Lonchura striata: one gene and its partners. The protein of the gene in region 1 binds, or shares a complex with, the protein of each later gene. Links are inferred from orthologs where the notes say so. Each region holds a gene or a part of one and is shown in the gene's direction. Other genes may lie near its edges.

Region 1 (7,521 bases):
GCAAGCTTTGCTGGAGGGGATGGAGGGTGGGAGCCAAGAAGCTGTGTAAACCCAGGGGAGTGCAAATGTACAGGAAAGGGAGACAGATGCATGCATGGCTTTGTGGTAAATGTAGAAGTAGGACATCCATGGTGGCTTCCTGGAATGGTTTCCTGATGCTTGGGTTTTGTGGGGGTTTCTTCAGGTTTTGGGCCAAGATGTGCTCCTGCTTTCACTCTCCCCATCATCTGGCTGGGTGGCTGGAGTCCCCTGGGACACATATCCAGGACCCCAGTCCTGTGACCATCCCTCTGCCCTCAGGAAGGAGAGGTGGTGAACGTGGATGCTGAGATGGCTGCAATCTTGCAGAGCTCCAGGTTTGCGGAGAAGTTCCTGATCCGAGCTGGTGGAGCCAACGCTGCAGGACTGCAGGGCTGCTGTAGCAAAGGAGTGAAGGTTGGTAGAGGGCAGCTCTGTGGCTGGGTTAAGGAATTGGGACATGGGTGTCCCAAGCCATCAGAGTTGCTATGGGGTATCAGAAGGGCTGTAGCATGATATCAAGATACATGTGACTCCTTCTGGGCTGGGCAGAAGCTCGTGGGATACCAAGAGTGATTGATGCCTGGTGCCTGAGTCAGGATAAAGTGTACCCCTACCCAAGTTGGAGCCCTCCAAAGGGGGATCTGCTCTAACTACCCCAACATGTCCATGGGGACTGGTGAGGCTGACAGCTGGACTTTTCTGAGATCTCCCAAGGGGAGTCATCCTTCCCCTGAGGGGATTGCTGTACACAGCCTGCCCCAGGGAGATGATGACCCATTCCCATGGTTTCTTCCTGCCCATTGCCCTCCTGCCTGCTGATAGAAGAGCAGATTGGCCCTGGCTGCCAACCCTGACCCTGTAGCACAAAACATTCTATCTGCTGGAAGCCTATCTCTTCTCCTTGGTGGTCCCTGAAGCCTGTAGATGGGCCAGGAGATACAAGTGAGATAATCCCCTGCAGCTGCATATCCCTGAAATACAGCCTCGTGCTTGGGAAGGGGAGATTTTCTCAGGACTCTATCCAAGTAGGAGGCATTTCTCAGATAAAAGCAGAGCCAAAGTCCCAGGCTTCTTCCTTGCTGCAGGAAAAAACAGCTGGAGTGTCCCAGAGGCTGCCCCCCATGATAGCTAAGGAAGTGCCAAGTGTCATTTTCTCAGGTGCCTCTTGCTTCCCACTGGCCTGATCCTGCCCTGGGTTTTTCTCTGTCCTTCAGGAGAAAATCTGTGATCCCTTCCAGCTGCTGGAGCAGCTGAGAGCCCCAGGTCCTGCTAGCTGTTCTGGTGGCACCTGTGGTCCTCCAGGGTGCTGCTGAGTGGCAAGTGGTGTCCCCACACCACTGTTGGAAGTCAGTGGAATGAGAGGACGTGGCTCCAGTAACGTCTTCCACCAGAGAGCAAATAAATACATGTCTGAGCTCAAAGGTTGTGTTTGTAGCTGCCACAGGGCCGTGGGTGCTGTGCTTCCCTGGCAGGGCTGGTGGGGCAGGTTGTGCCTGGTTGCAGTGAGGTCCCATCCTGTGAGTCCCCTCACTGTGGGGCTGACTGTGGCTGCATGGCTTGGGCACACAAGCAGGGACAGTCTCTGTCTCACTTGCAGCCCTGCAGCCTGTTACAGGAGATGAGGGTTGCTCTCTCTTTCCCTGTGCAGCGCCACTGAGGTTTCTGTTTTCCCTGTTCTCCATCTAGCTGGAAAGCCCCGAGTCCCCAGCAGGCATTGCACCTGCAGAGTTTTGCAGGGAAATTCAGCAGTTCTGGAAAAGCAGAAATGCATCCAGCTGCATCCCACAGCAGGCAAAGAGCAAGGTGGGAGGGCTTTTAGGGTGTGGTGGGAGGTGATGGTCTGCATTCCTGCTGCCCAGCATGAATCTCACAGGACCCAGCCCACAGAAGGTGCTTGGGAAAGGCTGAGAGCTGCTGAACAGCTAAACTTAGAAATAAGGGACCATTTCCACCCCTTCTCACACAGTGATTTTACAGGAGGGGCCAAATTTCCCATCTCTGCCATTTAAGCATCAACTTGCTGTGGTATGAGGGAAGTTAAGAAGCAAACCCCAATAAAATTTGGGTTCAAAAAGAAACAGGCCAACACCAAGGATGCTCTGTCATAGCAGTAGCAGTGGCTGAGGAGGGTCCAGGTGTTCAGGACACCTGAAATTGTTCTGAAATTGTGTGGAATGACCTCACTGATGGGACCTTGGAAGGAAGGAGCTGTTTAATACACACACCCAACCCCCAGCCCTTTTTCAAGATTACTTACAAAGACTTCATCCAAGTCCCCAAGCAGTTTATCCTGGGAGGATTGCAGCAATTAGCTCCTGCTATCAAAGACAGCTTTCCCAGTGGGAAGGGAAGAGCAGGTGGGGTGTGGGGGAGTCCTACCTGCAAATCCCTTCATTAAAAAGAGATGAATCCCTGGCATGGTCTTTCAACTTGCCTGGGTAGAGCTGCACCCACAGTGAGATCCCCTCTCTGTGCATACAGAAAAAGGCCACGGCTTAAATGCCACTACATTTGCATAGCACTATGTTTTTCCGAAATTCTCAGCATGTCAGGATGGAAGCAACTAAGAGAACTTGACTTTGATGTGGAGCATTAGAGGTCCTCACCAGGCTGTGGGTGCAGTGGTGTCCGCTTTGTCTGGTTTTACTTGTGCATGCACAGCCTTGGGTTTTTTAGCCCTCAGTGTATGAAAAGAGGAAATCCTGCAGCCCTATCCCGTGTGAGGGACCCCGACATAATTTGTCCAGCACCCCAGTCTGTATTTTGGTGATTGTTCTCCTAGTGTGAAGCTCTGCAGCATTGGTGTCCTCCCTTGGCAGGCAGAGAGGGTGTTGTGATGGCAGCATCCAGAGGTTGTGATGGTCTGATTCACTCTGAGAGGAAAGGGAAGGGTGTTGCTGTGGTTCAGGGACACCTGTCACCTCCTTAGGGGAGCAGGCTGGCAGAACTGCCTTAGGATAAGCTGAATGAGCTTTGGGACCAGGCAAGATTTGTGGCTACAGGCACCAGAGCACTGTGCTCTGCTTCACATCTTGGGTTGCCCTGCACAATTTATTCTTCCATTTCCCAAGCACTTAAAAAGCAGGGAGGCTGTTTTACCGCCTCTAAAGGATGTCAGCCACCACAAGCCACACTGGTTCTCCCACGGCTGTTTGTCTTTGGCTGTCCAGGATGCTGAACTGTTTCCTGGCTCCTTCACATGTGATGGACATGGAACCGGCTGCGGGGCGTGTGCTGCCCGAGCTGGGACTGCGGCACAGCAGCCGAGGCCTGGGGAGCAGGCGGGCCCTCGGGGCGGTGGGCACGGCACACGGGGATTCACAGGTGCTTTCGTGGATCGGGGCTCCCGGCCCTCCATGAACTGAGAATGAGCGGAGCGGGGCAGCTGGGGCGGCTTTGGATGTCCTCAGCAGGAGCTCCAAGCCCCGGCCCCGCTCACCTCCCGGGGCGGCGGAGCAGAGCAGAGGTGAGGGAGGAGCGCGGCCGGTCCGTGCTCGGTATTTAATGGTTAATTCCGCCCTCAGGCGCGACACAGCCGAGGAGATGTCGGGGCGGAGGGCGCCCGGGGACCTCAGTGCCACAGCTCGGTTTCTTGAATGTCGCATGTACTGCACCGGCGGCGGCTCGGGGCCGACCGGGAACGGGCAGGGCTAGGAGAGCCGCCTCCGCAGCGGCGGATCCCGGCGGAGGCCCCGGGGTGCGCCCCGTCGGGCCGGGCCGAAGGGGCGCGGCGGGACCGCCAGGGGGCGCTGCGCGACCGCCGACGGATGCGGCGCGCGGACGCGGGGCGGCGCTCCCGGGCCACTGAAGGGGGCGAGAGGCGCGGCGGTCCGAGGGGAGCGGCGGCCGCCGTGGGCCGGGCGGAAGCGGCGGGGGAAGCGGGATCGCCCGGCCCGTTCGGCCGCCCTGTGCCCCGGCGCGGGCGCTCCCGGGACCGCTCCTGCCGCGCGCCGCGCGCGCCGGCCGCACCGCACCGCACCCCCATTGGTCGCGCCCCTCCTGAAGCTCCGCCCCCTTCGGCCCCGAACGCCGCCGCCATTGGCCGCGGCCCTGCGGCCGGCCCCGCCCCCGCGCGCCCGGCGTACACACCGGAGTCACGCGCCCCCGGGGCTGGGGCGGGGGCGGGGCGCGGAGGAGGCGCGGCCTGGCGCTGATTGGCGGCGCCGAGCCGAGGCCCCTCCCCGCGCGGCGGGCGGGGCGGGGCGGGGCGGGCGCGGGTAGAGGCGGCGCTGCTCGGCCCGGCTCGGCAGTTGCCGCCCGTCGGGTCCCGCGGGCAGCCGAGCCCGCGCCGAGCTCGCCGCCGCCGCCGCGCCCGCCGCCACCGCCGCCGCCGGGGAAGCCGGGGCACGCCGCAGGCGCCGCGCGGTGATGCGGGGCCGCGGCGGCGCCGAGCCCTGACTAAAGATGGCCGCGCTGCCCGGTGGGAACATGGCGGGGGGCGGCCGGGGGGCGCGGGTGCTGCTCTTGCTGCTCTTGCTGCTGCTCGGCGGCTGCCTGGGCCGGCGGCCCCCGGCCGCCGCCGCTGCCGCACCGCCCGCCGCCGTCGTGCCCCCGCCGGCGGCGGAGGAGACGGTGATCATCGGCCTGCGGCTGGAGGACACGGACGACGTCTCCTTCATGGAGGGGGGCGCGCTGCGGGTGAGCGAACGGACGCGGGTGAAGCTGCGGGTCTACGGGCAGAACATCAACAACGAGACGTGGTCGCGCATCGCCTTCACGGAGCACGAGCGGCGGCGGGGCGGGCGGGCGACGGCGGGGCCGGCGGGGCGCGGCGGGGGCGGCGGCGGGTCGGCGGGCAGCGGCGGGGCCCCGCAGCGCTGCGGCATCCGCACCTCGGACATCATCATCATGCCGCACATCGTGCTCAACCGCCGCACCTCGGGCATCATCGAGATCGAGATCAAGCCCCTGCGCAAAACGGAGAAGAGCAAGTCCTACTACCTGTGCACCTCCGTCTCGGCCCCCGCCGCCGCCGCCCTGGGGCCCGGGGCTCCCGGAGGGCTGACGGGCGCCGAGGGGCCGGCGGGACCCCCGCCCTGGGGTGAGACCACTTGGATCTACCATGACGGCGAGGACACCAAGATGATCGTGGGCGAGGAGAAGAAGTTCCTGCTGCCCTTCTGGCTGCAGGTCATCTTCATCTCGCTCCTCCTGTGCCTCTCGGGCATGTTCAGTGGCCTCAACCTGGGCCTGATGGCCCTGGACCCCATGGAACTGCGCATCGTGCAGAACTGTGGCACGGACAAAGAGAAGAACTACGCCAAGCGCATCGAGCCTGTGCGGCGTCAGGGCAACTACCTGCTGTGCTCCCTCCTGCTGGGCAATGTCCTGGTCAACACCACACTTACCATCCTGCTGGACGACATTGCCGGCTCTGGGCTGGTGGCCGTGGTGGTCTCCACCATCGGTATCGTCATCTTCGGCGAGATCGTGCCGCAGGCTATTTGCTCTCGGCACGGCCTGGCCGTGGGCGCCAACACCATCTTCCTCACCAAGTTTTTCATGATGATGACCTTCCCGGCCTCCTACCCCGTCAGCAAGTTGCTGGATTGTGTCCTGGGCCAGGAGATCGGCACGGTCTATAACCGTGAGAAGTTGTTGGAGATGCTGCGGGTCACCGACCCTTATAACGATTTAGTCAAGGAGGAGCTTAACATTATCCAAGGAGCCCTGGAACTGCGCACCAAGACTGTGGAGGATGTGATGACTCCCCTCCGAGACTGCTTTATGATCGCTGCCGAGGCTGTGCTCGACTTCAACACTATGTCTGAGATCATGGAGAGTGGTTACACCCGCATCCCTGTTTTCGAGGGTGACCGCTCCAACATCGTGGACTTGCTCTTCGTTAAGGACCTGGCTTTTGTGGACCCCGATGACTGCACGCCACTCAAGACCATCACCCGCTTCTACAACCACCCGCTGCACTTTGTCTTCAATGACACCAAGCTCGATGCCATGCTGGAGGAGTTCAAGAAAGGTGGGCTCGTGCCTGTGGTGGGGGCATGCTGGGGAGGTGCTGCTCGGTGTGCTCAGCATCCACCTGCTTGCACCAAGGGAGCTCTGCAGCGGGCCCTCGGGTCACTGCTCACAGAGGGCTGTGGGAAGGTGCATTCTGCGCTGTGAGTGACCAGTATTTAGACATCTCCCAGAGCTGCTTGTTCCCTGGGCCAGAAAGCTGATCCACGGCTGGGATGTGCCCCCAGCCTTTTTTCCCCCACTGCACTGGGATGTGTGTGTGGGCATGGTGCCAAGCAAGGTTGTTTTCCTTCTTGCTTTTTCCACTCATCTGTCTGTTATAGTGAGAACCACTGACGGGAATCTGCGCCCATTTCTTGGCTGTGTCTTCTCTGTGCTTTTTCAGCTGGCCTGACTGGGAGGAGTGGGTGGGCTGCTTGGTGCCTTTCAGGCTCAGTGCATACACGTGCTGAGATAAACAAGGCATTTTAGCTCCATTCATAGGCTCAGCCAACCGACTTCAGCTCTCTCCCCGTGTTCCAGTTGCTTTGACTGACACTTTGATCTTGTAACTCAAATCATTTCAATGTCTTAAAATGTATTCCAAAGTACCTGTTGGTGCTGCACTTCAGAGTTACAGCTCTTTTTCCCCAGGCTACCCTGTGCTTCAGGACCACAGGCTCAGCAGAGAGGTGACCCTTTCTACCTCTTTGGTGTAGCTTGTGTATTAGTGGCATCAGGATGGGACTGAGCTTTCAGCCTTTCTCTTAATTGTAGGTGGTGCTGACTTGACAAATGCATCTTAATTCGTGTTAGAAGGTCTTGCTTATGTGTAAGGAAAAAACATCTTTTTGTTTTCCTTTTAAAATCTGTTCCTCTCTGCAAACCAAATAATAATGCTGTGTAGCCTGTGCAGGAAGGACCTTTCAAAGTAGTTGTTAAGTGAAATTTCAGGCAGTTTGGATGTGTGGACTCCTGTGCTGGAAAAAGAAAGGCTATTTGGAGTGCCACCAGAGTCCTGGGTTCATACCTGGGAGATCTGATCAAAGTACCACAGAACAGCTCAGTTCTTGGGGGGTGATTTGCTTGAGAGGGGAAATCTAGTGGAGAATATTTGAGCTTACCTTTTAACTGCATAAATTACCTAGGGAAAAAAAAAAAGCTTTGTGAATTGGTGCATGTTCTTTCTAGATAAATTGAAATTAAGACTTAAATTTCAGTTGCTGTTTTGACCACATGCTAAGCTCTTGTGTCAAGGCATTGGATCTTCTTCATCCTGTTTAACTCGGTTTTTGGGGATTTGGAGAGTTACCTCATGTTTATTTCATCTTTGTTTATAGAAGATGAACGTACTCCTGCTTTTTACTGACCAGTGCAGTGGTGGTTGTCTTTCAGCCTGTGTGTAGAGATGGGGAAATCTTACTTGGGTTTGGAGGTGTTGAAGGAGAAACGAGGGAGGGTCTCCCTTGGCTGTGGTTTCTACACTGCAGGATCTGCAATTTGGGTGTGGGAAACTCAATGATGTCACTTAACTGTTGGCTGGTT
Region 2 (7,566 bases), on another chromosome or scaffold:
CTCTAAAAGTTGCATTGACTTGTTATGCAGGAAGTTTTGAGATAATTTTTTCTTCCCACTTCTTGAACCACAAGAATACGCTTCTGGCATAGAGCATGTTGCAACAAATTTATGATAAACCTTTGGATTCTCCCTTCCCATTGGTGATATATGAATCTGTTTGCATAGGCAATGGGTCACTTTCCATGGTCGAAAATGGACAGTGTTATCACAGGATATCATAAGGGCAGGCAATTATTTGCCCAGTAGATAGGAGGTGCATCTTGTCAAGAGTACCTTGTGAAGGTGTGCTTCTACCTTGTGTTATGGCTTTGCAGTTTGTACCCCTTACCCTCTCACTCTTCACTGTCTGCTTTGGCAGTTGCTGCTGATGCCTTGAATAGTAAGAAGCTGGAGGTATTTGTCATTCTTTTTGTTGGGTAGTAAGTTAGAACAATGAGCTTCCTTGCAGGTGTCAAATTGTGAAACTTCGTTTATTTTAATTTTCTAGTGTTAGTCCTGTGGTTTCAGTAGGTGAGTGTGTGTAAGGTCTTGACTTAAGAGATTGTGAGACCACATAATTGGTTCTGGGTATAAATGTTTTCAGTCTGTGAGCAAGTGGATTGAGCAACCATGAACCATCTTGCACATGTTCTGAAGATAAAGTGTCACATAACTGTGTTAAGAAGTGCTTTTGTTTGCATGCTTTTCAAGATGCTACTGAGTTGTGAACCAGAGTGTCAACAGCGTAGAATAATGTTGTATCTGTCTGCTTTCCCCATGTCAATAATGATCTAATAGATTACTTTTGTAAATCATTTTTTCAGGCATGAGTGACTGTTTCAAACTCCAAATAAACAGCCATGTGAATCTACTTGTCAGTGATGACGGCTCTGTCCCAGAGAAGGGCATGAATTAAAGCCTTCCTTTTCAAAATGCCTTCCTCCTGCTTGAACAGACTATTCTCTAACTTCTGTCTTGAGTTGTAATGGATCATGCAATCATAATTAATGCAGCTATAATGGACAGGTCACCTTCTCTCAATAGGGGGTCTTGGCATATTAACCCTAGTTTTGTTTTCCAAATTTTTTTGGTGGCTCTGCCAGTCTAAATGTTGGACTTTCTGTTGAGATGGAAATTGCTACTTTTTCCAAAATCCTTCAGTGTTAAATTTTCTCGAGGAAAATTTATATATAAATTGAAAAAAATACAGTGATTCAACATACCTAACTTGATGGTACAAACAATGAATTGGTGTAACTCTTAAGAGTCTTCTGCCTTCAACACTACGTGTTTGAATTTCACTTATGCAACTTTTTGCTTTCATGCACTGTCTTGACTCTTTTGATAGCTTACTACCTAAACTGTATGAGACAAAATAATATGAGCTTTTGAAAGCTCATGACATCGTTTGAGTTCCCTCAAAGCCCGAGATCATCATAATTACTGCAACACTATTTTCGTAGCTGATTTCTCATCTCCCCAGTCTTTTTGCTGAAGTTGGGTCAAGCCTTGTACTCTGGCTTAACTGCATAACAGATACAGTATGCCCATGTACTACTCATCTTTCATTTTCATTTGACTCCCAGAACAGAATGAAGCTAGGTTGGCAAAGCTGTCTTGGGATAGTACAATGTGTTTCTGCCTAAAGGTTGGTCTGCCTGTGAAACTTTCCTGCTAGTATTGGTGAGAAGTGACGGCATTCACATCAAAGGAAACTCTGAGCTTTGGTCCTCTGTAGTGTGGCAGCAGTAGTTGCCAAGGCAAACAGTGAGGCTTAAGTACATGCTTGGTTAGGTCCTTAGATGTGTGAGTTACTAAGGTTCTGATGTGTCTAATACTGACTGTTAAGTCAGTAATTAACAAAATTAATTCCTTTGTAAGGGTTAATAACACATGGAACTCAAATGTAACATTGCATAATCTACTTGCTTTTGCTTTGTATAAGAATTTGAACTGTGCACCTAGTTTCTAAAATGTCATTAGCGATCTGCATGAAAAATAAGGATTTTTTTACTTAACTAATTACTTACTGCCTACCCTTTTCTGTGTTTACTGGTTTGTGTGGTATCTTGAGTACTCCTAGCTGGGAGTAAGGGCAACCTGCCTAGAAGACTGGATGAAACCTGATTACTTCATTCTTCTAACCTGCCCTGGTATGGCAACATGTTAAATGTTCTTTTCTCCCCAAAAGCTCAGTTTTGCCAATTGAAAGGTTTTCATCCTAATGACTCCATTCTGTGTCCTCAAGCTCACTTGCATGCATTTGTGTTTCTGACAGTCTTCACTCCCTCATCCTTTAGCAGAGCAAGGGTTTGTCTATGCTTCTTAGCAGTCTTAAAAAGAGATTGACAGGAGATCTGCCAGTGCAGTGCACAAAGCAGCACAAGACCTTGTGCAGCTATATCTGCTTAAAGCTGTCCTGTCCCTTTCTGCTGTTCCGCTTCTTAAACTAATTGAAAGCGACTTTAAATAAGTTACCTTCAGTTCTTTTTTTCAGTTGCTATTTTAGCTGTTCCCTAGATCTGGTCCTAGGAGGCTTTTAAATGCACTCCTGCCACCTTGCTAGGGCATGGCTGGTGAGTCAGATGATTCTTGGAGTCCTTCCGAGTCTGAATTCTTCTGGTTCCTGTTACTCTGTTGACCTTTGACTCAAGAGGCTCCTTCTTACTACTTTTCCACGCCTATTCTATTTAGAGTTCTTGCTCTCTCTCAAGTTGTTAAAAGTAAATACTGAAGTAGCTTTTTTTACAAGTAGCTGACTAACTTAATCCTGGAGTCTGCATCACTACCAGGTGATGGTAGTATCTCTGGAGTGGCAGCAAAGTGGATGTGAAATTGTCATCTTAGTTTCTTTCTGTTGACTTCATTCTCGTGTTTATTAGCAGGTTGGAGTTTTATTGTGTGGTTTTTTGTTTCGTTTGTTTTTTACAAGTCACGCCTATGACTTAACACACACATCAAAACTCTTACCAGGAAGCTGTCTGAAAACATGAAAATAGGTTGACTGATAAACATAAATAACTTTTTCTGCTAAATATTTCTAGGATTGATAGTTTCTCTCAAATACCTAAGTATATTTAGTGGACATGTGATTCAACTTGTACCTCTTTTGGAAAACAGAACTCCCCTCTTCTTCTCTCCTGTGTCCTAGACAGGTATAAGCAGTAATAGTGGTAGAGTAGCTGGGCACAAAACTTAATGCATCTATCTGCTGTAAGGGTTTTACAGGTGTAAAAAAGCACCTATGGGTAGTTCATTTGCAACATCTGCAAATAAATAAACAACTTGGAGCAGTTCATTTGCTATCTTAATTCATGGTTGCTTCTTCCAGTAATTATATGTATAAATTCAACCATAGCTAAGCAGCATACTAGTGGACAGGAATGACCTGTTCAAGAAACTTGCCTATGTTTTTAGCTAGACCATTACTGCTTTCTGTGTATATTAATGAAGTCATGGTGTAAAAAGACTGCTAAAGCATATGAAGGTTGCCATTGGTCTTTAGCACTTATTGTGTAAAACGTTTCTTAGTTAGTAAAGTGTATGCCTCAGAAGCTTCTGTTTAAAAGCCCATGTTGTACTCTTAGGCCACAAAGCCTGCATTTGCTTTCAAGGCCTACTGTTTGAGTCAGGTGGATTTATACACATTTTTTTCTGTAACTTTAGTAATTGTGATGTCTCTCAATTCAAAATGGGGAAGGAAGTTGCATGGGTACCCTGGGAGAACTATTCTTTTTATAAATACTGGGATTTTTAAAACTTGTTGCTGTGTTTTGCACATCTGAAATTGGTATTTTAATACATTACAGGATTTGGTGTTGCAAAAACTCTACATGGAAACTTTGTAATAGATAAATTTATTTATTTTCTAGTAATCCATGCTAAAAAAGGTAACAGGATTCTTGCACAAACCTAATTCTTGGAATAAAAATAAACCTTGTGAAACCCTTAGTTGCTGTGGGTTTTTTTCATGTTATAAAGCTTGATGTCTTAAAACCTTGTTTCACCTGTATTCATTATGCTTTTCCCCCTGCCCCCCTCTCTTTACAGCAGTTCTGTGGTGTTCTTGGTCACACATTTATGGAGTTTCTGAAGGGCAGTGGAGACTACTGCCAGGCACAGCACGACCTCTATGCAGACAAGTGAACTGTAGAAATCCATTACTACTCCACCAAGAAGCCCCCCTAAGAGTGGTTGACCAGGATAAGAAGTGTTGAATTGAAATCGGCAGAGCATTTACCAACGAAATTCAGACCTGGATGGGGTAAACCTCAGTGCACTGCCTTTCTTTTGCCTCAGTATTACTGGATTGAAGAATTGCTGCTTCTTGTTAGGAGGTTCATTTCATTTCCCATTGCTCCCAACATCATACTTCCAAGCACTGAGAATTTCACGTGGAGTATAGTGAAGTAGACTTCAGTTTCTCTACATCAATTCTGTATTAGAATTTTTTTTAATCCTTTCATAATCTTGTTGCATGTTTAACTAAATCAATATGGCCCGAATGAACCGCCCAGCTCCTGTGGAAATCACCTACAAGAACATGAGATTCCTGATCACACATAATCCAACCAATGCAACCTTAAACAAATTTATAGAGGTAAGGCCAGTACAGAATTCTTACGGATGTATTTTTTTAATCCCTGGACAGCATGCTATATTTATATATAAATAAATATATATTTACTAGCTGATAACCGCTCTAAAAGCGATATGAGGAGATACTGAGACTGTATATTGATTTTTATTTTCAAACTGGTGATGTGTTTTGAAGATCTGTAGACAAATCTGCAGATATCTGCAAATCTGCAGACAAATTATATATATTTTGGCCTTCACAAATGTAATTCTGAGAGTGAAGTAATAATTATACTGTCTAGTACATGGTACATTAAGTACATTGTTTAGGTCTGAAAACAGGAATTATCTAGCAGTGTTATTTGTAGAGCCATACAAACATCTCTTAGTTGTAGATTCAGATTGGGCTGAAGTGGTGTAATGTTTTATTGCACTTCCTGCATAGTGATACATAGTGTGGGTTAGAACCTGAGGAACTAGTAATAGGATTGCAATGTGCTTTCACTGCCTAGCTTCCTTTACTATTAGCAGATCGTGGTTTTAGTGTAGTTTAAGAGGATCCTCTGTGTCATAGTGCCTACATGAGTGAAATTTGTGGCACTCAGAGCTGCTGAAGCTGCTTCAAGTGCTTTGGTAAATGCTACTGACTAAAGCCAGTGGCTTGGGATATATTGGTAGTACTGAATTTATCATCTAAACCATGTATTTAGCATGTTGGAACTGTAAAGTGCATGGTTGTATAAAGTGTGTGTGTATGCTGATAAGTTCCTACAGAGCTACTTCATGAGAAGGTCCAAGTTTGCCAGGTCACTCCTTAGCAAGATTTTAGATGTACTGCACCTCAATTCTGTATTTGGTGCAGAATTATTTACAGGAAACAAAATATTTGCTTGACTTTATACTCTCACAAGTAGATCAGGTCTGCTTAGGCTATGCTTCAGTCATTACTCTGACAGCTGCAGTGTGAATGATATTTGTTGCAGGGAGAATGAAGAGGGATTTTTTTTTGTTTTGTTTTTTTTTTTATGTAGGGTAATAGCAAAATGGAAAGCTAAATTTTGTCTTGACATCTCAGGAACTAGAATAATTTATTGTCCTGTGCTTGTAGCTCTTAAGAGTAAGTGGTCTAAAAAACCTGTTTTAAGCAGAGGGAGAAGATTTGAACTTTGCTCAGAATGCTTTTAGTGAAATATGTAGCTTTGCAAAGCTTCATGGTCCTTTAAGATGAATGATCATTTGGAGATGGACTACTTGATTAATCAATATTTATCAGGATCTGATTTTAAAAGAAGAAAGTCCAACCCAGCATAACAAAACTTAGTCTGCACGTAAGACCATGTTTGCAGAAAAGCCTAAAGTATCTGGCATTAGCACACAAGTTTTTAGTCATTTCAGCTTCCTGTGTCTTTGCAGGATGGCAAGCATTTGCATAAGTTTTGCTACTGAGAATTTTGGAATGAGTTCCTCAGTTAGCCTATCAAGAAAATTAAATGGTTAAGTGAAGCTAGTTTACTCTTACAGCATTTTTTTTCCCACTCCTTAGGAACTTAAGAAATACGGTGTTACTACAGTGGTGAGAGTGTGTGAAGCTACTTATGACACTGCTCCGGTGGAAAAAGAAGGCATTCAGGTTTTGGTAAGTTGTGTAGAAGCAGACTTTGAAACCAATGCATTTTACTGTTCACTCTATCCCCTTCCCCTCAAAAAGAGATTATTTGACACCACTGTATTAACTTCGAGTGTATTCCAGCAACTGATGGAGTAAAGATGTGGAGACATCTTTTCTTGTCTGGAAAAAAAATCAATTTTTGAGCTAAATCATGTGAGCAATGAAAACTGATTGAGAGGAATCTATTTGTAATCTTGCTATAGCTAGACTATTAGAAAATTGTAGGTTTCAGTGGTTTCCTCAGCTGTCAGCTCTGTGTCCATTGTGTCCCCTCCGTTTCTTTGCCTGTGCATACAGCTTACTAGAATTCTGTCTTTGTGTTTGTAACCCTGTGTTCTAGGACTGGCCCTTTGATGACGGTGCTCCACCATCCAACCAGATTGTTGATGATTGGCTAAACCTCCTTAAAGTTAAATTTCGTGAAGAGCCTGGTTGTTGTATTGCTGTACACTGTGTTGCTGGTCTTGGAAGGTGGGTGAATGTTTAAAGATTTGTTGAATTGTCATCTGTGGCCAGACTTGTTAAGATCTAATACAAAAGTTTACTTGAGGCAAATGTAAAATAGTCATGTATCCAGCATTGGAATTACCTCACGCTTAAAAGTAGTTAAGAGGCCAGGAAACTGTTGAAGTTATTAAAGATCTTTAGGTCAAGAGATGATGCTTCAGTCAAAGCTCTCACAAAGTCTACATAATTAAGTTAACGAGTATATTCTTGTACTGAATATGTGAATAAATGCCCCATTGAGCTTTTTTGTCTGTTTTTCCCTAATGGATTTGGGGTTTTGTGACTTGCCTGGTTTCTCTCCATCTCCATTTCAGCAGTATTGCCAGTCTCCTTGAACCAAGGGCATTGTAACCGTTAACTGCAAACAAGTGGGTGGTTCCGGCACATCAAGACCAGCTTTTGTTCACAACCTATTTGGGGGATGAAAAGTGTTTTCCAAAGACCCAAAGCTGTTTGTCTCATTTCTAAGTGACATAAAAATTTTTAGGGATATTGCTAAATAGTCTCTTCTTAGTCCTGTTCCTTCTGTCTGCTGCCACTATCTTGAATAGAATTCTAACAACTGTGAGAAAATAATGTTTTTTCTGCTGTTCTAAACTACTTGGGAACTAGATCTGTTCAAAAAGGAGTTGCTATATTCTAGCCATGGATTTCAGCATGTTCAATATAAAATGGAGGTTTCTGGTCTTGTTGTCCATAAGGCTGACTTATCCACTGCATTATGGCTTCTCAAATAACAAAGTTCGCTGTAGCGAACTCTGTAGATGAATGTTAGTAGTAGATCAATGTTGCCAAAACAAATCCTCTTCTGCTGCTTAAAATTATGCCAG
Region 3 (8,030 bases), on another chromosome or scaffold:
TTAATTATAATTATCCTAAATTTATATCATTGTAACTACAGAGGGAAACTGGTTTCTACTTTTGACCTTGTTCCATCATTAACCTTTGCTTTTAGACTGCCTGTTGTTATTTTGCCAGTGAGGTTACCTGAAGGTCAGCCACATATTTCAGGAAACAAGAGGGAGAACAGGTGAGAATTCCTTTTCAAGATCTGTTTTCTTGTCTTCATATCCATGTGTTCTTTTACAGACAAAAATAAATAAATAAATAAATAAATAAATAAATAAATAAATATATATATATATATATATATATATAACCATAGCACACATGGTGACCAAAATGCCAGAAGGTACCAAGGCATAAGAGCAAAGAGAAAGATATTTTTGACTGAGTGGTTTTGCTTCTCTTGTAGCGTTCGTTCACCTTTGGCTGTAGAATCTCTGCATGTTGACATTTGTCAATATATCAGATAAAGAGCTGCAAATTGCTTCAAACGTTATTTACTCAGAGCACTTTCTCCCTTTCCCTGCAAGTTACATGAGTTTGATTAACAGAAGCCTCTAAGTAACTACTGAAATTTGAGCTGCAACTAAAACTGCTGACTGCTCTTGGCATCTATTTAATATTCAAACTCTCCTAATGAAAACCTCATTCTTTCATTTCTCTGTCCAGTTATTTTTATGTATTTATGCCCTTCTGGATATTTCTAGGAAATACTTTTGGTCACAATTGGCCACATGCATTTATTGTTAAAATGCATACTTAGAAATCTATCACCATTAGACCATTCAAATATTTTTTCCTATCAGTTTTCCAGCTGGTGAACAACAGAACTGTTCTAACTAATTTTAACTTCCTGTTTGGTCCAGCTTCTTTTCTATTCTGCCAGTGAAGTCAGAGACTGTTTTATCACATCATTTGTATTCTTGAACTAAGCACAGTTTGTACCTTTTAGGACATCCAATTCTAAATTTCTAGCCATAACAAATAAAGATTGTTTTTTTTGTTTTGTTTTGTTTTTGGTTTTTGGTTTTTTGGGGTTTTTTTTAGCATTTGGGAGCCTTTATATTACTGTATGAGCATCCTAAATCCAAGAAATCCACATTTTTATATGAGAGATTTTTCTACAGATTTAATTTTCCAAAGTAAGTATATGGTATTAACACGAAGGTAAAAATTATGTTTTGCTTTCCTGCTAATTATCCTATGAGTTGCTAAGATGGGAGTTTGTGCATGTCTGCTGTAACAACCTTGTACCATGGAAAACTAATGTTGAAAATTATGAGTAAAGTAGCCTCTTTCAGTACTTTCAAAGATAATAAATGCTTTTCTTCTCAACTTTAATTTGAAGGGTAAAATATTTTGCTCCAGTGATTAATTTTCTTAAACAGAGTTACCAGGGCTCCTTATATCAGTAAAACTTGGTAATTAAAGCAGCCACCTGCTTGCTAATCATAAAGGAATATTCACTTGCCTTTCCCCTATTAAAAACTGGGTGGGATGTAGAGAACAAGGTGAGAACAAACATACCATGTACTTTGTCCTTTTAAAAAATGAAATTATTCTCATGTGGAAAAGTGGTTTAGATTGTCTCAGTCACTGGTGTGCTACTGGGTGTTTTTGTTTTAGGGAACCTGAACCTTTTGTAAAATACCCAGTTTTCATGTCATTCAAACCATGATGTGCCAACACTCTATGTACATCTACTGCATGAATAGCATCACTGCTTTCTGCAGGACTTCTACATAAGCATTATTTTGACAGAATCTATTTAACTAATGAGAATGGAAATTAAAGCAATATGATTAAAAGATCTACTATAGTATGCCTGTCATTCAAGTTGTTTTCCAAGATAATTCTCACTAGACAATTTGTCATATATACTGCTGGATATGCAATTCCAAAGACAATACTAATTCCATTCAAATATGTTTGGATATAGACATACTCATTAGTATTTACATTTTAAATTCCCATTTTGCTGATATCTATTAAGTAACAAATACACCTTTTTGTCAAATTCACCACCAGAGTTTGCTAACTGCTAGTGCGACAAATGCTTGAATTTATCAGGTAGCTACTCTTAGGTTAAGATGTTCAAATTCATTAAATTGCACTGACAGAAGCAATGGATGATAGAACGTTGTACTGAGATTCTCAGGGTCAAAATCTGAGTCCCAGATTGATTATTTTTCATACAAGTTTACAGAAAATTATTCTTGTGACAGGATTTCACTGAAGATAAAGTTGTGCTTCTGTGCATAAGCTCACTTCCATTTTTGGAACCAGACTAATTACCTCACAGCCAACATGACATTTGCTCCATTAAAATACTTTGATCTCTTCCTTCCTATCTTGATGTACAAGTTCCTGCTGACAAGCTTCTTTACGAAGATAACTAACACTGCATTACATATATATTCCAATATGAAACTGAACTTCATTTTAGATGAAAGAAATGTTACAAGACTTGCTAGGAAAATCTCAGCAGCATCATGACTGCTATATAGGCTGGAAGGCATGCCTTAGGACTTGTTTTCTGCTTACATTCTGCTATTTTCAATGTTAATCTCCACTTTATGTAATAAAATTAATGTACATAAGGCTATGCAATGGCCAAAGGAATAATGTGTTTACAGTGAACAGAAAGCCTAATACATAAATTTAAGCTTGGCTTCTCTTTTGATCAAGTTTGTGGGATTTTCAGTGTATACATGAGAAATTTCTTGATTTTTTAAAACTGATTTTGTGTTCAGATCATGAGGTCTTGTTTATAAACTAGAAAGAAAATCACATTTATAAAATAGAATAAACATTTTTCTTTGGATATATAAATACACTGCATCTTCATAATCAGATCTATTAGCTTCATTTAAAACAGAGGGATCTTCTAGCTCTTTTTCTCCAGATGTACATCAGTGCTAAGTAACTAGACTAAACTACATCTGTGAAGTGTTATTATAACTCATGGCTACTTTCAGAAATTCTACTAGCTTTGATCGTGTTGTCTGTCCATGTTTAAATATCCTTCCCATTATTTTCCATTAGCTGAACTGAATCTTCCTTCTTGCAATGAAAGCCAATTACTTTTCCTATCACAGCAGCATCTCTGCAACAACTCTCTAGATTCATAGATTCTATTTTCTTCTCAATCAGCTATACAAGTAATAATTCTCAATCCTTTCCTATTTGTCTCACAGGAAACAATTCTGAAATATCTGCTTGTTCTTGATGTTCTCATTTCAGTCACCCTTCATTTAAAGAAGCATGAAAAGGCAGCATGTCTCAAGAATAAAAAAGAAGAAATAAAAGGTTTTAATTGTTAAGGGGAAAGCACTGCAAAATGTTAAAGATCATATATGATGACAGACGTATGATGAAATCAGTTTCTAGCAGCTCCTGTGTTATATTATTGAGAGGCCTACTTTATCCATCCCTGTAGTGGCTAAAGTAGTCTTTACACTGTGGTTCTCCCTGTCAAAAGGACACTTCAGGATCAAGAGACAGTTGCCAGAAATATCTGTGACTACATGAAAAACAGTCACAATGCTGAAGAGCAGGAAGGGCCAAGCCTGTATCCCTCTTTCCACCCATTACCTATTAAAGTACTAAAATTCGTCAACTTCTAAATGATTAAAAATTAAAAAATTCATATGTAGTAATTTAAATTAAACTTCAGTTGCTATTCAGATGTATTTGATATTGAATCCCAAAGTAAAGAAAGGACTGCCAAAGGAATCAATTTTTTTCTACACTAGATGTATGAGGAAAATGAATTATCCATTGGCAAGGTGTGTTTTGGGCAGGCACAAGGAGAACATTTTACTGACATTCTCCAGATACAGTAACTGAGACTGTCCACAATTAGTTACAAAATTCAGAGCAGTAATTGTAATTTTTTTTACCCCACGCCAGTTTACTAGATGTAAGTTAATCGCTCACCAGCATCCTTACAAATACTGATTTGTTGTTGCTCCTTACCTACTTACCTACTCTCCTAGTTAGTTTAACTACACTCTGGTTTTTTTTGCCTTATTTTTTCACTTGATGCCTCATTTCTATATTTTCTATCTGACTGTCATAGACATGGAGAACTTCCCTTCAACTTCTCCAGGAGTCAGGCATTCCTACCAACACCTTACATTTGTGGAAAAGCCTCCAGGTTAGGATGTCAGGTTGCAATAGGAGACATGGGCGTTGCTTTCACGGGTGCTTAGGGGAACCACCACAGAATCGATTAGAATGGGAAAGAAACCTATGAGTGCATCGAGTCCAACCTGTGACCAAACACCACGACTCAACTAAGTGGACGTGACCATGACACTAAGTGCCACGTCCAGTCTTTCCTCAAACACCCCCAGCGACGGTGACTCAACCTCCCTGGGCAGCCCACTCTAGTGTCTAATCACCCCTTCCGTGAAGAACTTCTTCCTAATGTCCAACTGAATCCCCCTACCCCCGGGGCTGCTTAGCACCATATCCTCTCGTCCTGTCACTGGGAGCCTGGGAGAAGAGGCCAACCCCCACCTGGCCACAGGCTCCTTTCAGGCAGTTGTAGAGAGTGATAAGGTCTCCCGTGAGCCCCCTTTTCCCCAGGATAAACACGCCCAGCTCCCTCAGGTGCTCCTCCCAGGACTCGGCGCTGCAGCCCGTTGCCCTCCTCTGATGTGCTTGGCTGCGGGATAACACAGCCCCGAGAGCCGCCCCGCGCGGCCGCGGCGCGCCTACGCCTTTAAGGGCGGCCCGGCCGCGCCCCCACGTGTGCGATCAGCTGACGGCGCGTCCCGCCCCGGCCCGCCCCTGCCCGCTCCCTCCGCCGCGAGGTGCGGGCGGCAGCGCGGCTCTGACAGCCCGCCGGGGCAGCGCCCGCGCCCCCCGCCCGCCCCCGGCGCGCCCGCCCGGCCCCGCCGCGCCCGCGCCCCGCGCCGCCGGCCCCGCCGCTTCCCCGCGCCGCCGCTGCCCCGCCGGCCCAGCGCTGCTGTCAGCCGGGCGGGCGCCCGCGGCCCCTGCAGAGAGCTCGGCAGCCCGGCGCCCGGCGCCGCTCCGGTACATGGATTACCTGGTAGGTTCCAGGCGGCAGCGGACCGTCGGACATTTTACTGAGCGGCTGGGTCGGTGTGGGGGGCAGCCCGGGGCCGGGGGGCAGCCGGGTCCGGCCGCGCTGCCGCGCCCGGCCCGGCGGGCTGGTAACGGGCGATAAAGCGGCCGAGCCCCGCTCATTTGGCCGCTATTAGGTCGCTGAAGCCGTGACCCGGGTCGCTGTTTTTTTCCTAAATGCTAGAGCTTAGGGCATGCTTCAGTGAACTAAATTGCTGCCGCGGACGGGATCAGCCGAGCGCCCAGGCAGCTGGTATTCGGGGGTAGTGTTTATGGCTTTTTAATGAATATTGGCTTCATTCGTCTGTGAAAGATCGTATCGCGGGCGTGCACCTCAACTGGGATCGTGGCTGGTGTTTGCACTCATCCGCGCACCCTCGGCGGACAAAAACCCTGTGGCGCGGCTGGCTAATGAGCAGGTGGCTTTGTTTTAGTGTGGTACCCGCTTACCTGGTCTTTTCAGCCTAGCAGTGGGGGGGCGTAACGAGCACATCCCATGGCTCTAGTCCGGCTGGCATCCCGTTGCTCCAGTCTTGTTGCTTCGAGTCCTGCACTGTGAACTGGTGCCCGCTCCTTCACCGTGAAGTGCTGCGAAGCGTCAGCTGGGGCAGTGAAGAGCAGGTATCTTCTGGTCATCCCTGCTTGTTGTTGGTGTCAAGTGCGACCAGGAAGTATTTGGAGTCAGAATCTTGACTCTATCATTCATACTTTTTCACTCGGAATGCTCATGGATGTAGGCTTTCAAGAGAGGGTCAACATATGCAACAGAATCTCTGGAGATGCTCTTTATAGTGAGCAGAATATTTGCCTTGCTGAGATGAGAGCTGCATGCAGTGTCTGGCTTTTCATTTTCTGGCAGCTAACTAAACCAGCAATATGTTCAATTAATACTTCACTAATCTTGTGTCTGTGGAGCTAAGATTTATTTTGGTTTATTGAGCCTTGCAACCCCCAAAAATGTTTTAGGCTTGCCTTTCTGAATTTGAATACTACATAGAGACACTAGAATATGAGTTCTGTGTGGCAGAAATGGTAGGCAGACTTCTCTTTAACAACCTAGTTAATGAAATACTGATAATGAACTTGCTGGGTATCAAGTGCAGCCTCATAGTTCCTTGAGAGCCTGGAGCTGTTTCTGAGGTTTTTTTTTTCCCTTTATAAGCTTATGGCCAGATGAAACTGGCCATTCTGTACTTTTTCAAATGCTTGCATGAACCTTTGTGATTGCTACAGGCTGTTGTGTGGAAGGCCAACCACTCTGAGAACAATAAATTTAATAAGCCATGCAAACTAAGAAGATGTTTTTGTATTAACTACAGAGGGGTGGGGATTAAATAGCTCAACTTTTTTTTTTTTCTTCCCCTGACTCTTGTTCTCCAGCAGGTCATTTGCCTCATTTTTGTTGTGTGGCCTTCTTTGGTGTCAGTTCTAAAAAACCCTCATAGATCATGAGGTTCAGGCACCTCAGAAAGTCTGCTGTAACCAAAAAAAAAAAAAAAAGATGGTCAGTTAGGCAACTAGTTGTGTACCCAGTCTGCCCTGGTATAAAGATGGGCCTACTCTTTATCAAGTTACAGTGTAAATATTAATCTATAGCTGTAGAACAATTGTCTCATTATTTCCATAGCAAAAAGAGCTATACATTTTAAGGAATTTTGTGTTTTGTGCATTTATGTTGGGTTCTTGCACGTATATGGGCATGAAAACACAAACAGAAAGTCTCTTTGCTGGTTCCTCATGTTGGGTACCTGTGTTGCGGCCTGCAGCCAGTGAAGTTTTCTCCTGTGCTTGCAGTGTGAAGCAGAGAGCAAAGGATGAGTTGTTTCCTCTTGCAGAAGTGCTGAGACAGAGTATTTGACAGAGTTCTGGTTATCAGTGGGGCTGAGTGAGGGAGTGTAGTGGAAGGAGATGTGGATAGATGAGATCAGGTTTGTTGCTGCATGAACTCAGGGGTCAATGCATCTCCACAAGGAGTCTACCCTCTTCTAGCCAGAAGAGTCTAGCTAGCTCTTCCCAAACTTGCATAGGAAGGTTCTTTTCCTGATTTTAACTGGATAGGACCTACATTGATGGAAATGTCTTTTTTCCATTAAGAAGCAGATACCAAGAAGTAGTGAACATCTGAAGCACCTTCCAATATTATCAGGTTATTGAAAGCATTCAAAACCATTTGGAGCCAGCTTGAGCTATGGCCTGAAACTTTTATGGGCAGATGCCCAGAACCTGCATAGTGCCTTCCTTGTGATCCTTGATTTATGGCTAATGCCCTTTGATAATAAATTGGTATTACAAAAGGATCTTCTGTGAGGCTCTGGTTTGTTTTTGCAGTTTTACATTGTACAAAAAAGTATCACTGGCCTCTGTATCTTTGATAGCTAGAAGAGGCTCTCCAACCTGGTGCCTTTTTTTATTTCTGTGTTGATATAGTTATGATGTTAGGAGTGGTGTGGTGGTTTTTCTTTCTTTTTTTTTTAAATCAACATGGCTAAGCCAAGTCCAACTTCTAAAAAAGAATACATTTTCACCCAGAGGAACCTTTTACTTAAATGTGTTGTTCTGCTTGCATTTAGTTAACTCTTTTCAAACATACTATGTGAACACAGCTGTGTCAACGTAGATTTGTAGGTTTTTGTGACTACGTAATCTAGAGTACTGTCTGCAACCTTCTTCAGCTTCATTCTTGCTACATTATGTCTGGAAGGATTTTAGTGTATTCAGAGACTTGTGTTGGTTGGCCTCTGTTCAGTAGACTATGCTTAATTTAAGAAGTTTTACACCATGATGCATCTTGTGAAAAGCATGGCATGTGACCAGTCTTATAGTTCTTGCTTGGAGAACTTGTGAGAAAACAATAAAAAGGCTTCGGTTTTTCTTATGTGCTGCAATTACAATGCAGATTTTTAAGCTCCTGAGTAGGCTTTCAAAATACACTTCTTCAGTGGAATCCTCT

Evidence for each region.
Region 2: the proteins of CNNM2 (region 1) and PTP4A1 are in contact, whole or in part, in a crystal structure (PDB 5MMZ), measured with the Mus musculus proteins. The link is inferred for Lonchura striata from reciprocal best matches to the Homo sapiens genes CNNM2 and PTP4A1. Residues at the interface, in NP_291047.2 of Mus musculus: Phe526, Asp528, Val551, Asn553, Glu556, Gly557, Asp558, Pro559, Phe560, Tyr561; in NP_035330.1 of Mus musculus: Asp72, Gly73, Ala74, Gly107, Leu108, Gly109, Arg110, Arg137, Arg138, Gly139, Ala140, Phe141, Asn142, Lys144, Gln145.
Region 3: the proteins of CNNM2 (region 1) and ARL15 are in contact, whole or in part, in a crystal structure (PDB 8F6D), measured with the Homo sapiens proteins. The link is inferred for Lonchura striata from reciprocal best matches to the Homo sapiens genes CNNM2 and ARL15. Residues at the interface, in NP_060119.3 of Homo sapiens: Asn490, Val492, Pro521, Leu522, His523, Phe524, Val525, Phe526, Thr529, Glu537, Lys542, Ser543, Gln549; in NP_061960.1 of Homo sapiens: Tyr92, Ser94, Arg95, Gln98, Gln128, His129, Pro130, Gln131, Cys133.

The regions. Positions count from the first base shown.
Region 1 is NC_134609.1:20,271,506-20,279,026, forward strand, and holds the start of CNNM2 (metal transporter CNNM2), read left to right. Parts: upstream 1-4,425; coding exon 4,426-5,998; intron 5,999-7,521. Other genes in the region: AS3MT (arsenite methyltransferase), read left to right, coding at 301-435, 1,236-1,334.
Region 2 is NC_134605.1:88,071,008-88,078,573, reverse strand, and holds the start of PTP4A1 (protein tyrosine phosphatase type IVA 1), read left to right. Parts: upstream 1-4,472; 5' UTR 4,473-4,477; coding exon 4,478-4,582; intron 4,583-6,103; coding exon 6,104-6,196; intron 6,197-6,569; coding exon 6,570-6,700; intron 6,701-7,566. Other genes in the region: uncharacterized protein LOC144246073, read left to right, coding at 4,033-4,128. UniProt on the Homo sapiens protein: Protein tyrosine phosphatase which stimulates progression from G1 into S phase during mitosis. May play a role in the development and maintenance of differentiating epithelial tissues.
Region 3 is NC_134642.1:32,441,895-32,449,924, forward strand, and holds the start of ARL15 (ADP-ribosylation factor-like protein 15), read left to right. Parts: upstream 1-4,989; 5' UTR 4,990-5,033; coding exon of another isoform or gene 5,034-5,045; intron 5,046-8,030.